Linked DNA regions of Bombyx mori. The protein of the gene in region 1 purifies or fractionates together with the protein of each later gene. This does not show direct contact. Links are inferred from orthologs where the notes say so. Each region holds a gene or a part of one and is shown in the gene's direction. Other genes may lie near its edges. The genes, in order: AP-2 complex subunit alpha and protein numb.

Region 1 (4,420 bases):
AATCTACTTACCTACCATTAAATTTTCCATTAAACAGAGTTCTTATTAATATAGAACAATATTTTTTTTGTTAATGAGCTTTATTAATATATGATGTTCTAATAAAAATCAATATATATCATATAATCAATACTTCTTATATAATTTATTTTAATAAATTGTCATCATCAGCAACTAATTTCACCATGACTTTGTACGTTTCTTTTGAACCAATTTAATTTTTGACGTTGATGGAAATTCTAAATTCTCGCAGCATTTTCTAGTTAAGTTTAAGTCACATCGTTTAAATAATATGTATTTAGATATATTATTGTCATAAAATGTTTAAAATCCTGTAAAGTGGATTGATTTTAACCTTTTCGATAATTTTCAACAACGCCCTAAAGGATAAGACGTCCGGTGCATTCGTATGAAGCGATGCACCGGTGTTCGAATCCCGCAGGCGGGTACCAATTTTTCTAATGAAATACGCACTCAACAAATGTTAACGATTGACTTCCACGGTGAAGGAATAACATCGTGTAATAAAAATGAAACCCGCAAAATTATAATTTGCGTAATTACTGGTGGTAGGACCTCTTGGGAGTCCACACGGGTAGGTACCACCACCCCACCTATTTCCGCCGTGAAGCAGTAATGCGTTTCGGTTCGAAGGGTGGGGTAGCCGTTGTAGCTGTACTGAGACCTTAGAACTTGTATCTCGAGGTGGGTGGCGCATTTACGTTGTAGATGTCTATGGGTTCCGGTAGCCACTTGACATCAGGTGGGCTGTGAGCTCGTCCACCTATCTAAGCAATAAAAAAAAAGCCCAAGCTACTACTGATACTACTGATAACTAAGACAGGGGTCCAAATTACGAGATTTTGTGGAAAATCCTCTAAGCTAGCAACACTGCTTTTTGTTTGTAAAATGTGCGAGAGGGACACCACCACTTAATAGTCATTCTCTTTTCAGACCGTTTTTCCTTACATCTTTTGCTATTTAAAAATAAACTTTAAGCCATAGAGATAAAGTATATTTTTAGTTTTTATGTCAAACGAAGTAAGCACTCCAGTTAGAATAGTAACTCTATGACTAAATGACATACCGTATTTTTTAAGACTACATGGCCTGGAAAAATACTAGGTTTCCTACTTCAGTGAAAAATACAAAATCAAACTCTACAGGCTTGAGACTAGGGTTAGAATGAATTGAAATCAGTTTGTTAAAAAATCGATTTTGATTAAGTACTTTTTTATACTAGGCAATCTCAAAATAAGATAAAAGCATCGAACGAATTTTATATTTTATAATACTATTAATAAAAATAAAAAAAAACAAACCTTTAAATTAAAAGTACGAATTCATGTAGTAAGCGCAACGCCTTGGATTACAAAATGTAGGTATTATTTCCACAATCCATGGCTGAGGCATCTTTAAAACGAAACTTTTTGCTCGTTGTTTTTGACAGCTGTCAAATTAAGTAGTGAGAACACACAATTTTTTAAAACCCGACCTTATGTCCTATATCTGAAAGTCGAATATTCGTAAGTATGAAAGTGTAGGTGCAGGTCAATATTGATCCATAAACAACGTTCTGTGACGTTTCCTCCAATCTATGGAAAAAGGAAGGCGTTGTAGAACTTGTAGAATTTGTCGAACGGAGGGCGCTCATCTTCATGGTTAAATCGTAATGACGGCCGATAGCTATTGAAATTTTACACCGGGTTCTTGTAGTTCGCTTTGTAGCATAGTGTTAGCAGAATTAAACTATTTCATTTCTAAAAAAGTGTAAAGAAAAGGCTTAAAACTGGTGTTCGATAAGTCACTTGGCAATATGCCTGCCGTCAGAGGAGATGGTATGCGAGGGCTCGCTGTCTTTATCTCAGACATAAGAAACTGTAAGAGTAAAGAAGCAGAAATAAAGAGAATCAACAAGGAGCTTGCAAATATAAGAAGTAAGTTTAAGGGTGATAAAACTCTAGATGGATATCAAAAGAAGAAGTATGTGTGTAAACTTCTGTTTATATTTCTGCTCGGACATGATATCGACTTCGGGCACATGGAAGCAGTAAACTTACTTTCATCCAATAAATACTCCGAAAAACAGATTGGATACCTTTTCATATCTGTCCTAGTCAATACCAACAGTGACCTCATTAAACTTATCATTCAGAGCATTAAAAACGACTTGCAGTCTCGCAATCCTATTCATGTAAACTTAGCTCTTCAATGTATTGCCAACATTGGTAGCAAAGATATGGCTGAAGCTTTTGGTACTGAAATACCCAAACTTCTTGTCTCTGGTGATACCATGGATGTAGTGAAACAATCTGCTGCACTTTGCCTCCTTCGCTTATTTCGCAAATCTCCTGAGATAATACCTGGAGGAGAGTGGACTTCTCGCATAATTCATCTTTTGAATGACCCCCATATGGGTGTAGTAACTGCAGCGACATCTTTGATTGATGCTCTTGTAAAGAAGAATCCTGATGAGTATAAGGGTTGTGTAACATTGGCTGTAGCTCGACTTAGCAGAATTGTTACTGCCAGTTACACAGATTTACAAGATTATACATATTACTTTGTACCTGCTCCTTGGTTGTCTGTCAAACTGTTACGCCTCTTACAAAACTACACCCCTCCATCTGAAGAACCTGGAGTTCGAGGACGTCTTTCAGAATGCCTAGAAACAATATTCAACAAAGCTCAAGAACCACCAAAATCTAAAAAAGTGCAACATTCCAATGCCAAGAATGCTGTTCTTTTTGAAGCAATAAGTCTTATTATACACAACGACAGTGAACCTAACTTATTAGTTCGTGCTTGCAATCAGCTGGGACAATTTCTTAGTAATCGTGAAACTAACTTGCGCTATTTAGCTCTTGAATCAATGTGTCATTTAGCTACATCAGAATTTTCTCATGAAGCAGTAAAAAAGCATCAAGAAATAGTAATCCTCTCAATGAAAATGGAAAAAGATGTTTCTGTCAGGCAGCAGGCTGTAGATCTTCTGTATGCAATGTGTGATAAGACTAATGCAGAAGAAATTGTACAAGAAATGTTAGCTTATTTAGAAACTGCTGATTATTCAATCAGAGAAGAAATGGTGTTAAAAGTTGCTATATTAGCAGAAAAGTATGCTACAGATTTCACTTGGTATGTGGATGTAATTCTTAATCTTATAAGAATTGCTGGTGATTATGTCTCAGAAGAAGTTTGGTACAGAGTAATTCAAATAGTAATAAATAGAGATGAAGTTCAAGCATATGCTGCTAAAACTGTATTTGAAGCATTACAAGCCCCAACATGCCATGAGAATATGGTTAAAGTTGGAGGATACATTCTGGGAGAGTTTGGTAACTTGATAGCTGGAGATACAAGATCATCACCACAAGTTCAGTTTGAACTTCTACATTCCAAATACCATTTGTGTTCTGTTGCAACAAGAGCCCTATTGTTATCAACGTATATAAAGTTGGTTAATCTTTTCCCAGAAATAAAAAATAGAGTTCAAGAAGTATTTAAGGCAGATTCTAATTTACGTTCAGCTGATGTTGAGTTGCAACAAAGGGCATCAGAATACTTGCAACTTAGTATTGTAGCCAGTACAGATGTTTTAGCCACAGTATTAGAAGAAATGCCTGCTTTCCCTGAAAGAGAATCTTCTATCTTAGCAGTATTGAAAAAGAAGAAGCCAGGTCGTATTCCAGATGATGTTAGAGAATCAAAGAGCCCTCTGCCCACTGTTGCTCCCACTGCTATACTAAATTCTACTAACAATACTAATAGCTCCAGTGCTGATCTCCTAGGACTGTCTACACCACCTGGTTCTGCAGCCCCTACTACAGGGAATGGCTTATTGGATGTACTTGGAGATTTGTACACATCAACAAAAATAAGCCCCAGTACTGTACAGCAAAATAACATCAAAAAGTTTTTGTTTAAAAACAATGGGGTGCTTTTTGAAAATGAATTGATCCAAATTGGTGTTAAAAGTGAGTTCAGACAAAATCTTGGCAGAATTGGCCTATTTTATGGCAACAAAACCCAATTTCCAATCCAGAATGTCCATCCTGAGTTACATTGGACTGACTTGCATAAGTTGAATGTACAAATGAAACCAATGGAACCTATATTGGAAGCAGGTGCTCAAATCCAACAAATGTTGACAGCTGAATGTATAGAAGATTTTACTGATGTACCAAGCATGTCAGTCTCATTTATATATAACAATGTACCACAGAAAATAACAATGAAACTCCCACTCACCCTTAACAAATTCTTTGAACCAACTGAAATGAATGGTGAATCATTCTTTGCACGGTGGAAAAATTTGGGAGGCGAACAACAGAGAGCCCAAAAGATTTTCAAAGCTCAGGGACCGATTGATTTGACTGGCACAAGAACAAAATTGGCTGGATTTGGCATGCAATTATTA
Region 2 (3,828 bases), on another chromosome or scaffold:
AAACGGTAGGCAGCGGCTTGGCTCTGCCCCTGGCATTGCTGAAGTCCATGGGCGACGGTAACCACTCACCATCAGGTGGGCCGTATGCTCGTCTGCCTACAAGGGCAATAAAAAAAAAAACAAAAATATTCTGTATTTAAATGAAATGTGCAGGCATTTGAATGCGGAATTCCTTATACCGAATCAGATCAAGAATCACATCAGGAAACTGACGTGTGCCGACACATAATGTTGATGGAGTCATGATAACTTATTTAAAGCTCAAAGTATATCTCTAAGATATCATTTTATTCCTAAAACTAGTCTACAATTATACAAACCAAAAATATTAAATTAATCAACAAAAGTACATTTTTAAATAATTATTTGGAATATTATAATATTTTAAGTGATATTTCAATTAATAATATAGAGGAGGAAGAGGTCGACCGAAGAAGACATGTATGGAGTGTGCGTGCGTGTGTGTGAATTACGATATGAGAGAGAGAAGAGTGAGTGTTGAGCTGACGGCTGATAGAAGAGAATGGAAGAGAAAAGTTAGCTGTGCCAACCCCACCTAGTGGGATAAGGTGAACAAAAAGAAGAATTAATATTTTAAATAATTAATTCAAGGTGTCATCGCTTTTCAAGGCGATGGTGTACCTATATAATCAGAGGACAAGGTGGAGCCATTGCCTAAAAAAAATTACCTTATTATTAACAAATCAGTTGTAACCTATAAATTGTCATTCCTAGAGTGCCTTCCTCTACGTATTTCTTATTCGAAGCTCCCAAAAGAAAAAAAACACGATGTATGTAACTTTGTATCTTCGGACTAAAATCTTTAATTTCTGAATAGTTTTATACAACAAGGAACGAGCCATGTGGCACAGTAGACATCGATCGTGATTTCTTTATTGTTTCTTGATTAATCTGAAAACAGTAAATTTGATAATCACATGACAACAATCGGATAAGATAATAATTTGACAAGGTGCCTCGGACTAATCCAAAATATATATTTACAAAATCTCGATAGAAAAAATTATTGATTTTGTAATGTCCTAACACGGTCGTGAATGCTGAGCGTGTTGTCAATAACCAATATGTAAAATATATTTATCACCATTACGCAAATGATTACATTCTGTTCCTAATAGCGTATGTAAATAGAAACTTTTCAGATTTATTAGGCCGCTTTACCTAGTGAACTCGAAGAGATTCGAAAGCTGATTCTGATAAAAATATATTTAAATTGATACTTAAATTTCTACCTCGCTATTTTGATTAATTAAAATCTATGTTTCTCCATCGCCAAATTAGATAATAGGCAAAAAGATACTATCGTAGTGCCCTTAAGCATTTGAAAATCGACAGTAACGTTTTATCTTCGTCTGACCTTAATTCGCGACTGGATTAGCTTCATGTTTTAAATCCAAAAATTCGTATATAACGGTTTTTTCGTCAGAATATGACGAAATTATATATTAATTAACTTCAATTTTGCTGTGATTGGTATCATCATGGTCATTATCTTGCCCTTCTCCCAGTCACCTGGGGTCGGCGCAACATGTTTTCTCCTTCCATACTCTTCTATTATATCCTATTTCTTCGCTCACTCCCCTCTTACCCATATCGTCTTTCACGCAATCCATCCATTTCTTAGGTCTACCTCTTCCTCTATGTCCTTCCACATTCATAGTTAACATTCTCTTACCAACCTCATTTTCATTTCGTCTCATCACATGTCCATATCATCCCAAACGCGCACTTCTCAGCCTCTCTGTCACAGGTGCCACTTTCAGACTTCCTCTAACATATTCATTCCGTATTCTATCCATTCTCGTTACTCCACACATCCATCGCAACGTTCGCATCTCTGCTGCATGCAATCGCCTTTCATCCGCCACTTTATCCGCTGCGATTGGTAAAGAGTGTCTAATGTGTTTTCAGAAATCGTCAGTGCGAAGCTCGCTGAGACGAGCGCGCGCTGGCGCTGCGCTGTCGCCGCCGCGTGCTGGCATGGAGCGGTTGCGACGTTCCTTCCGCGAGTCGTTCCGACGCCGCAAGGGCTCGCCGCCGGAATCAGCGCGGCCGCACCAATGGCACGCCGACGAGGCGGCTGTTCGTGCCGGTACCTGCACTTTCCCCGTCAAGTATCTCGGCTGCGTCGAGGTCTTCGAGTCTCGGGGTATGCAGGTCTGCGAAGAGGCACTCAAAGTTCTCAGGGTCAGTACAACACATTTAGTAACACTCAGTTCGAAGAATAAGATTGTTTTCAATCTATTTATTATACGTCTACGGGCTGGTATCTCAAGACATGTTGGAATGACGTCTCTTCACTTCGCGATACAACTGTATTTATAACGCCATTCCTATATCCTAACATTTTAGGTTAATTAACAATTTTTTTCATATAAAAAATAATAAAAGAAAACAACTGGCTGACAATAATGTCTAGTCTTCTAAAAAAAAAATTAATTATTTTTTTACATTGGACACGTTCAAAACTATAGTTGCGAAGGCAAGTAAAAATCTATAGCCGTTTAAAGTGATCGACCTTGAATCGGACCGGTTATTTACATCCTACAAGATCGATACTAGATTTTTTGCCATTTCGATCGTTAACGAGAACCAATGAATTCAGCATTGTATTACCAGGACATTCCAATTTCAATTGACTGAGAAACGAGCGACCGTGACTTTTAAAATCATTAACAATTGTTTATCGATTTAATAGGTTGTACGATGCTTTTATAATTATTACTGACCAATCAAATCCAGGGCGCTTTGTTGGCCTATCTCTGATTTGTCTTTGGTCCGATCTCGTCAGGTTTGAGCCCCGTGAGCTCACCTACTAGTTAAGGTTCCGCTGATATAGCCTCTCAAGGTTATCAGCTTAGGTAGGATAAAAAAAAAGGTCCGATCACTACAGTTCGACCGATCTGAAGATTTCCTGAAAAATTCATCGAGGATTGGACGAGCCATTTCGGAGTCAATAGGGAACATATAGACATATAGAACATATAGATAGATTAATTTGCAATAAAATTTCGTCAACATTTCATTACGTCAATAAGTTTTGAAATGCTATCTTCCACCGACAGCATCTGTCAAATCATCCCATCCTTATTAAAACGTACTTTGATCTAAAGAAACAATATCTGCAAAGGACAATGCCCATTTTCTTAGAGCGTTTGAGCCCTTAAAAAAAGTTGTCGAGTCATGATGGTTTTAACTTAATTTGATAGACAAAGAAATATCGTTTCATATTTAGAAAACGATTTTTATATTCTCACCCAGGTTTAAGAGAAATCTGTTTTTTTCTGCAGCTAAAATTAAGTTGTTTTATTACAAATAGTGTTGACATAAAATTGGCCCACTTTTGGGCATTGTCCTTTAATGTTTATTTACATATTCCAGAATTCACGTCGTCGTCCAATTAGAGCAGTCCTTCACGTGAGCGGCGACGGTCTGAGGGTGGTGGAAGAAGAAACAAAAGGACTGATAGTAGATCAGACCATCGAGAAGGTGTCCTTCTGCGCGCCCGACAGAAATCACGAACGAGGATTTAGGTATTTGACTGATACATAAAATTATCTAATAAACACAAAAATAAGTGTTTGTTTGTTTGCAGCCTATGTATGCGTACGGGCTTCGTTTATCCCGTTTAGTTTTCCAATTATATTTTATTGGCTGATCGTATTTTATTACTGACTAGCTGACCCGGCAGATAGTGCCTCAATCGATAAGTAAAAGACCTAAACTTTTATATAAAATGAACTTAAAACAAACAAAAGGAATCCGTCCGACGGGGGACACATCAAAGGAAAAACAAAATTGTTATTT

What was found.
Region 2: the proteins of AP-2 complex subunit alpha (region 1) and protein numb purify together in Drosophila melanogaster (affinity purification with western blotting; 5 studies listed by BioGRID). This does not show direct contact. The link is inferred for Bombyx mori from reciprocal best matches to the Drosophila melanogaster genes AP-2alpha and numb.

Annotation. Positions count from the first base shown.
Region 1 is NC_085114.1:9,468,346-9,472,765, forward strand, and holds the start of AP-2 complex subunit alpha, read left to right. Parts: upstream 1-1,581; 5' UTR 1,582-1,816; coding exon 1,817-4,420. UniProt on the Drosophila melanogaster protein: Adaptins are components of the adapter complexes which link clathrin to receptors in coated vesicles. Clathrin-associated protein complexes are believed to interact with the cytoplasmic tails of membrane proteins, leading to their selection and concentration.
Region 2 is NC_085118.1:8,445,180-8,449,007, forward strand, and holds part of protein numb, read left to right. Parts: exon of another isoform or gene 1-120; intron 121-1,932; coding exon 1,933-2,208; intron 2,209-3,402; coding exon 3,403-3,554; intron 3,555-3,828.